Coturnix japonica: one gene and its partner. The protein of the gene in region 2 interacts with the protein of the main gene of each other region in a pairwise test. Links are inferred from orthologs where the notes say so. Each region holds a gene or a part of one and is shown on either strand. Other genes may lie near its edges. The genes, in order: PDCL2 and GOLGA1.

Region 1 (4,265 bases), on a different chromosome or scaffold from region 2:
AAGTCTTTACATCAGCTTCAACTTTGGGAAACTTAAGAACCAAACACTGTGAAGTGCTTTAATCACCTGAGAAAAAGCACAAAGCACTGTACAGGTGCAAATCATCATCATTCTAAACATCAGTAACTTGAGTGTGAACTACCAGTATTTAATGTGCGAATACGATACAACACATAACAATATTTCATGAAAACTGGAATGTGGAACCAGTAGATGGCAGCTTTCATCTGTAAAAATAATTGCAAAGTAGAAAACAGAAAATGAAAATGCCTTCTTGAGATGTGTTGAACTACAAGAAGCTATTCATTGTACTGACTGAAAGCCACTGTAGAACTGGCAAGACTAAATGTACACACAACACTGTTACACTTTAGCAATACATCGTAATTTACACACAGATCAGGAACAGTATATGGTATGTCACAGAAAGGATGTCTCATTGTATCTTAATACAGGAATATCTTACTACACCTGTACATCTCAATAGCCTTCCTATCAGCTTCATCAAAGTCATCTTCAGCTTCTTTTAATTCTTCAAGGCTCATTCTTTCATATGGTTTCACTAGAAACAAAACAACAACAACAAAAAAATAGTTTTGTTCTCTAAAGTGCTTGCACATTTTAAATGCATGGAAATTATCATACAGACGTGGAATTGATGAAAGAGATGCTGATTTCAGAAGGTGTTCAAGGCCAAGCTAGATGGTGTTTTGACTAACCTGACCTAGTAGAAGGTGTCCATGTCCATGGCAGGCAGGGTGGAATGAGATAATGTTTATGGTCCCTGCCAACCCAAATCATTCGATGACAGTAACTAAAATGATGCAGTATGCAAAGGTATGTCATGCTACCATATATTTTTTTTTATTATTTTAGTGTATTTTAGCTATATTTTTATACAAACAATATCCTGATCAATGCTGCCTGAGAGAATTTGGCAGAGTCTACCACTGAAGACACAACTTTCTCTGCTCTGTAATAGTGAACAGAACTCAGTAGAATCTGAAAACCCCTGAACAATCTGTAACTTTCCTTTCAACTCAAGTCTAAAACTTGTCAGAAAGTGAGAATTCCTACGGCACATTTAAACAAGAGCCTTTGTTGCTCTATGGAAAAATGTTTGCCTGTAGGAAAACAGTGGGAACCAAGAGGCCCAGTCTGTGGTGCCACTTCCGTTTCTTACACCTTAATGCTTTCTGTCCTTTAAGAGGAAATTATAGAAAGAGGAGGCCGGAAAAATTTGGCCAGGTTGGATGGGATCCTGAGCAACCTGATCTAGTGGGCGGCAACCCTGCTCACGGCAGGACGTTTTGAACTGGATAATCTTTGAGGTTCCTTCCAACCCAACCCATTCTATGACATCTGCAGTAATAATTTTGCAGTACTTTCAGGTATCTGCAAAGAAAGTGAAAATACTTTTTTTTTTCTTTTTTCTTTTTTTTTTTTTCCACAGCCTCTGTGAAAAATCAACTTTTAAAATGAACATTTGCTGAGAATTGGATATTTATAACTGATTCTGTTTTGAGGGAAAACAAGCTGGATTACATTCTTTCCACTCTTGTTTCCTTTTGATCTGTGGTCTATGAAGGTTCTCTTAATTTTGACTGGAAGAGATAGCAAAGGATGGCCCTTGGAGTAGGAAAGGTTCCCACCGTGGAGATGAGCCTCACACCACACACATCTGTGTTTCAAATGTCATTATTCTAATAGCATGTATTTGAAATTTGACTTGCCTTCTGCTTCCTTCTGCAAGCGTAAAACCATATCTTCAGTTTCATCTTTTGGCTCTTCTTTTGGAGGAAGAATTCCAAACTTTCTTAATACGTCATTCCATTCGGTATCTTCATTTGGGTCCTGTTTTGGTATCATGGAACAAAACAACACTGACAAATCAGCCTTCCGATTGATAACTTAATTAAGATAAAGGAAATACATCTACTTATAGGGCTGCATTTATTCTCAGATTATCACATTAAAAGAATCTTTATTGTAACTGGGCTGCAACACGTAAGGACGTCTTTCACAAGGACTGGAAACAGGTTGTTAATCAGTGTGGTATTTTTTACCTTGAAATACCGACTGAAAACCTCCATGAAGAAAGGCCTGAATAGATTTTTATACACCAGAAATATTTGATGGCGTTTGTAATAATTCAGCATCAAATGAACAAACATTGCATTACAAAAAGGTTACCTGAGGAAACACCCAGGATTTGCATTATATCATTACCACGGCTGTGAGTGATGTGTTTGCCTTCCCAGCCAGCAACTGCCTTGCTTTTATTCAACAGATTACAGAGCTTAGCAGGAACATAACAACACAATTCTAATGATACCACAAGTCAAGTGTTAGGATATAAACGCTCCCAAGAATTTTGTAATGATAAAACAAATTCTTTTGCATCTCGGATGTAAAGAAATAGGAAACCCGCTAAGACAGTAAAGAGCACCATCCTGTTGCTCCCTGGGAAGCACAGTGGGTCTGCAAGGCCTTTACCTCTGCCAGTTTATTCTGGCATGGATGAGGAAGTGACACTTTGCAGGGCTGGAGCAGGCAGGAGATGGCAGCAGCTCCTGGCAGCTCCTGCACCAGCCCTGCATGGGCTCAGCAGGCCTTTGGCACTGCTCCCAACACACACTGCTCCTGCTGCACTCTGGCCTCACAAGCATCTAGAGCTTATTGCTGAGAGAAAAGGATTTAACTCACTTTGGGCAATGATCTCCCTCTTCCCCCTCCCCAAAGGGGAACACAGTGCAGGCCGCTCTGCTCGCGGCCCAGCCCGACCCGCTGGCCTGTGCCCAGCCCTGCCCGCCCGCAGGGCTGCACCCGGCAGCTCCCCTTTTCCCCCGGTTTCCCTCAGGCCGTCGGTCTCACACCCACCTGCATGGCCTCCCGCAGCCCTGCCGCTCTTCACGGTGGCGGTTGGGGCAGAACCGGGTTCTAACGGTTCCATGTACCTCATAGTGGCAGCTGGTACAGCGCGAGATCCGCGGTGCGCCAGTATGGTGCGGGGTTAGGCGACGGGTGTGAAAGCCAGTGCTCTGCCCTTCGGCTGCTCACACAAGCATGCGAGCAGGAGGGGTGCTGAGTTCTGCTCACCTTGTGACCAGCCAGTGTTAACAATAATCCTTGTCTACACTGCTATTAGGTCAATGACAGAGCATCCACCACCCCTCTGGGCAACCTGTTCCAGTGCCTCACCACCCTGACTGTAAAAACCTTCTCCCTTATATCTGATCTACATCTCTCTGCATCTGGACTTCATGCACTGCTTTACCAAACAGGCATTTGAAAGCTTTGCTTTGGTGTAAGTCTTCTCTGCAGGACTCAGCTTGCTCAAGATAACAAAAGACTGCATTTTCAGTAAATATGAGAGCAGAATAATAACTTGCAAATATAACGCTTTGGCTACATAAATTTGCATCATTGTATATAAAAAGAATGCCCTCTCAAATACAAAATAAACTAAACTGCCATTCTAAGAACTACATCAGAGATCTGCAGAACACTCAGAAAAAAAATGGTAGCCTACGTTGCAAACATTCCCATTAAAACAACTCTCTCAGAGCCTTTATTTGTGAAGGCAAATAAATGTACACAGCAGTGTTGTTGGGGACAATATCTCTTGCATGCATACACTGAGGATTTTTTATTGTTCCATTTAACACAGTTGTAAACATCATAACAGTGGGAAACAAATCATTTTAATATGCTTTTAATATAATCAAGGAAGTAAAGAAACATTGGAATTGTTAAGTGAATCTTATGTTAGAGCATTTACATTCTAGTGATTTTTAATTGTACATTAGTAAGGAACTGTCTCTGTGAGGAAAACCCTATGTCCATATACTCAGCATTCTTGCAGCATTAGTTCTACTTCAGGAATCTAAAACCCTGAAAAATAAGAACAAGTTTTAGCCATTGGTACGGTGCAGAGCAAATTACTTAAGATATGTCAGAGGTGCAAGATACATTAGAAAACAGAGCATCAGAATATTAGCACAGAATTGAATGATTTTAAATCAAAATCTGAAGTCTGCACTTAATTTCAATGTAAGGGCAGATGTTAATTCTGTGTAAGAGCAACCCAGGCTGTCAGTTTACTTCTCAGTATGTATTTGACGGGTTGTTGGATCAGTTCTTCCTGACACACACCTTTCATTTATCATTGATAACTTTACAAACTGTTAATCTTTTTCATTTCTTTCTTCCAGAAACACTTTGTTCTCTCGTCTGTGAACTGAGCATCTACAGCTTCTACTCAC
Region 2 (4,431 bases):
TACCAACAGAAAAGCACCAACTGTATTAAAAATCCATATTTTAAAATTGCTTCTGAAATTTCTATGTTATCCATATATTTATAGAGCTGCTTCTTCAAGCATTCAGCACCATCTCAGCTCTAGCACTAATACTGCACCACTCATCACATAACACTGCCTGCATGTGAGAGAAGTGTCTGAAGTAACAAAAGATGTCTCCTGTTCTAAGCTGGACTACAGCAAAGCCGTACGTTTCAGCAAAGTCTCTTCTACACATTAGCCCCAAATTTGCCAAATAGCGCATAATATGAGCTTTGTTCAACAACCAGCACATCACTGCTGTTATTACATCATTAGCAAGGCAGGAGCCTGTGTTCTACTTCTTTGCAGCTTGCATGTATACAGTTTGAAAATAAATGTTTAAAAAACTGTATGTAAAAATTGTTTCTTTCCAGGTATATTTAAACCATAGCAATTTTCAACCATAAGAGAGATTAAAAAATAAATACGTACAATCTTGATGCTTTTCTAATGCATTTTCAAGCTTCTCTTTTATCTTCTGCAAGTTTCGGATCTGATCAGCATAATCTTGTGTTAGGAGGGAGAAGCACAGACCAGGAATGGACAGACATTAGGGAAGGAAACAGGGGGGGGAAAAAAAAGGGGAGGGGGGAGAAAAAAAAAAACAAAAGATGAGTGGAAAATGGCAATGATTTTCTCAACTAGAAAATCATTTCTGCTGAGGAAAACTTGGGTGACTGTAACAATGAACAGAAGCAAGTAGCTCTCCACTGTCCGTAGGGTAAATGAGTGGTACAAACAAGAGGGTCTGTCCTAGTGCTGGTAGCTACACGAGAAGTTCCACTCCATACAACAGGGATGGAAAGGAGTGTCAGAGCAGAACCCTTACTGACAGCTCTATGGAACGAGGTATTATCCTAGAAAGCAAAACAGCCTTGCGACTGTTTTATGCTGAATTCTTTCCTCTTTCTTCATTTCACCTGTGTTACTGTCAACATCAGAAGTCTTAGATCCTAAGAGAAACAAATCATCACATACATAGAATAATAAAAAAGGGGGGTGGAGAGGGAAAGACTGTTTGAAGCACAGGGGCAGAAATGCTACCTAGATGAAAATGATAGGGGCATACTACAAGTTAACTTTCTAAAATGAAACAAACATTTTTCATAACTCTGAACACTGAAGTGGAAAGGAAACTATCTTCTAAGCAATCAAATTTTACATGTATCAAGACACGTACCAGACAACTTGACTTCCAGTTTTCTTATTTGTTCATTTCTTCTGAACAACTGGGATGAAAGATCCTCTCTAGAACTGCTTCCATCAGAAGCCTCGACAGAAGAACAACCATGTAACTAAAGAGATGTACTCAAAACGATCCTGTTACATACTAACTCTACAACAATAAACACTGCCCAGTGTCTTTTATAACTGCCTACAGCAGAAAGCAGTTTGTTCTAACCCAGCACTAAGAAGGTGGCACAACAGAATGGCTGGGGGAAAAAGGAAATCAGGCTCTAACGATGCCAGGCTCAGAAGGGACGGGTCAGAGAAAAAGCCTTCTGGACAAATTAGAAACTAGGAAAAAAGAGCAACAATCTTTATGTGGAATGAACTCAACAGTCATTCCAAGTTAAATCCAAAGCATAAATGACACAGGACTCTCTATGGCTTTCTAGCTGTATAAAATCTGCATTAAGAACAGTTAAATGAATACCAAGTTTTTGAGTTTGGAATTCCTGCTTTCTTACCGCTTCAGAAATTAATTTCACTACTAGGCATCTCACATACTACTTGTTCACTCAACATTTATTCAACGTCCTACACGTGCTGAATGATGTTCTCTATTGAGACAGCTTTGTAACTAATGTTTACATGGGTAAACAAGTAACTCTGATGGTAAACAGAACAATATTTTCCCTTTGGTATTTAAACTGACTCAAGCTACTGATTCATCTGCATATTAAGACATACACCTACAGAGGTACCACAGGGCACTCTCAGCTCACACAGCACACCTAAAATGGATCCTGGAAAGCAGCGACACAAACGTGGCTTAAGAACCCAAACTCAGAGTAAGGCAGAACTCACAAAGTCATCTCCCGAGTCCGCTCCCACGGAGGTGATGGACTCTTTGCTGATGGATCGTGGGATCCTGGCCGCCCCCCCGGGCCTGGGAGCAATAGCTGCCTCTTCTGCGATCTTCTTCTTCAGTTTCGCAAACATTTTACTACTCCGTAGCACTGGCAGTGCCGGGTGCTTCAAAAAGCCGGTGCCTGTGATATATCTAACGCATCGATGCTCTGCTTACAGCTTCCAGAAGCTGAGATTTAATTTTGTGCTTCATCCACTCCGCTTTATTGCATTTCTCGTTCCATTACAGCCTCCATGGCCTAACAACACCTGTAAATTGAGGCGATAAGGCTTCCATGCTGAAGACGTCCACCCCCATTAGAGATAACTACACGCTTTTTTAGGTACTTTACAACCCCTCACAGCCCGCTACGACCCCGCCGCACCGCACGGACCCTCCGGTGCCCCCACCCCAGAATTGGGCCCGGCCCCGGGGCAGCGCGGCGCCACCAACGACAGGGCGAGCTCGGGCGGCCCGTTCCCGGCAGCTGCCGCCTGTTCGGAGACGGCCGCGGTCCCCGGGTGCAATACGGCCCGTTGCAATACAACCCGCTGCAGTACAGCCCGCGCCCTCACCGCCGTCCCGCGGCCTGGCCCGGCCTCGTCTCGTCCGCCGCCGCCCGGACCCCGCGACGCCGCCGTCGCCTCCGGCGCTGACCCGGAAGTGCCGCGCGGGCGGAAGCGCCGCCGTCCGGTACGCATGCGCAACGTGCCCGCCCCGCCCCCCCGTCCCGCGGCAGTGCAAGAGGCGGCACACCGGGTGATGGCAGCAGCGGGCAGCCCCGCCCCGAGCGTTTATTGTCATTGCCGGTACAGAGCCGTAACCGAGCTGTTTGTGCAGCGCCCAACCGACACAGACCCAGTCGCACTTCCAGCTCAGCTTTCACTTCCCCCCGACAATTGCAGCAGTAATACAAACACATCGCGTTCCTCCCAGACACCAACATAGATAGAACTCTCTGGCATTACATTGCTTTGGCAATTTACAGAGCCTTTGGAAAATGGAAAAAAAATAAAAAATAAAAAAAAAAGCTATTTGCTCCAAAACTTTTATTCATATATCTCTATTTTAAGTAAAATATCTGCTTTTACCAAAATACGATGTACAGGCACGTGGCTGTCAAATAACTTCGAGCTAATCCATTATAGAATGACTTTGGGTACCAAATGTTCTGATTTCTGGTTTCACTGCAGTGCAGGCCCAGCCCCGCTCTGCTGCATGGCTGCACTGCAGGGCACAGCTCCTGCTCTGGGGCCCTGCGGGCAGAACCAGCCCTAACACAGCCCCGATGAAGGAAGCAATGACCAACACGTGCCAAAGGAGCCCTGCAGTGCCAGCGGGGCCCATAGCAAGAACAAGCCTTCATCCTTGAACAGCTGCAAAGCAGGAGGCTCCAGGGCGCCTTTGGGCCAGGGAACAGCAGCTGCAATGTGAAAGTAGGAGCTTCAAGGGCAAAACATCTCTGTGTGCACCAGTGCACCAACAAGATGCAGAGATGCTCTTTGATATTCCAAATGATCCAATTTGAAAATCTCAAACTAAATCTCTTTTGTTTTGGCAGAGGAATGGTTTAGAGTGAAAAAAACAACAACAAAAACCCAGAAGAATAAAATAAATTGATGTATTCCTCCTGTTCTAGTTGCAGATATCTGAATCTTCAAAGCACATGCAATAGATTTGGTCACAGAAACAGAACTGCTCTAGAAGTCAAAGACACTAGAAAATGTCAGAGAGCCATCTCAGCAATTGTAACCTCTTCACTTTGCAGACTTCTGCCCTGCCCTCCACACCAACACCCCTCACACAAGCTGACAGTGCTGCTATGCAAAGTCACCAAGGGATTTTAACAGTTTTCAGGCTGCGCAGCTCCTCAGCCACAGAACAGCTGCAGCCATCACAGATCAGCTGCTGACACCCAGGCAGCCACTTGGTCTGGAAAGGGCAGGACTAACTGAGGGCTCTGCTACTGCCATCATTAGTGACCTGTAATACAAACACCTACTGAAGAATCTAACATAGATAAAGCTGTTACAAAAGAAGCCTCAAGACAAAACAAAACACAAAACAAAATGAAAAACAAGTTGTCCAGACGGATTCCAAGCTTTTTAGCTCATAGGAAAAGCAGACGTCGGGCACAGCATGGAGTTACAGTGTAAGGATGAAGGCAGAGCGGGGGGAGGCACTTCACAACAGCATGCCTGTGGGTGAGCAATGGAATGATAGATACTTTCATTCTTAGAGGAGCTGCCTGACCAGAACTACTCACTTCGTACCTTATGAAGATGATTATCTGAAGC

The links.
Region 1: the proteins of GOLGA1 (region 2) and PDCL2 interact in a two-hybrid assay, tested with the Homo sapiens proteins (2 studies listed by BioGRID). The two-hybrid records come from large-scale screens. The link is inferred for Coturnix japonica from reciprocal best matches to the Homo sapiens genes GOLGA1 and PDCL2.

The regions. Positions count from the first base shown.
Region 1 is NC_029519.1:58,669,900-58,674,164, reverse strand, and holds the start of PDCL2 (phosducin-like protein 2), read right to left. Parts: upstream 2,970-4,265; 5' UTR 2,887-2,969; coding exon 2,881-2,886; intron 1,855-2,880; coding exon 1,734-1,854; intron 563-1,733; coding exon 472-562; intron 1-471. UniProt on the Homo sapiens protein: Essential for male fertility, spermiogenesis and acrosome formation.
Region 2 is NC_029532.1:8,050,396-8,054,826, reverse strand, and holds the start of GOLGA1 (golgin subfamily A member 1), read right to left. Parts: upstream 2,829-4,431; 5' UTR 2,710-2,828; intron 2,404-2,709; 5' UTR 2,227-2,403; coding exon 2,092-2,226; intron 1,332-2,091; coding exon 1,241-1,331; intron 568-1,240; coding exon 493-567; intron 1-492. UniProt on the Homo sapiens protein: Involved in vesicular trafficking at the Golgi apparatus level. Involved in endosome-to-Golgi trafficking. Mechanistically, captures transport vesicles arriving from endosomes via the protein TBC1D23.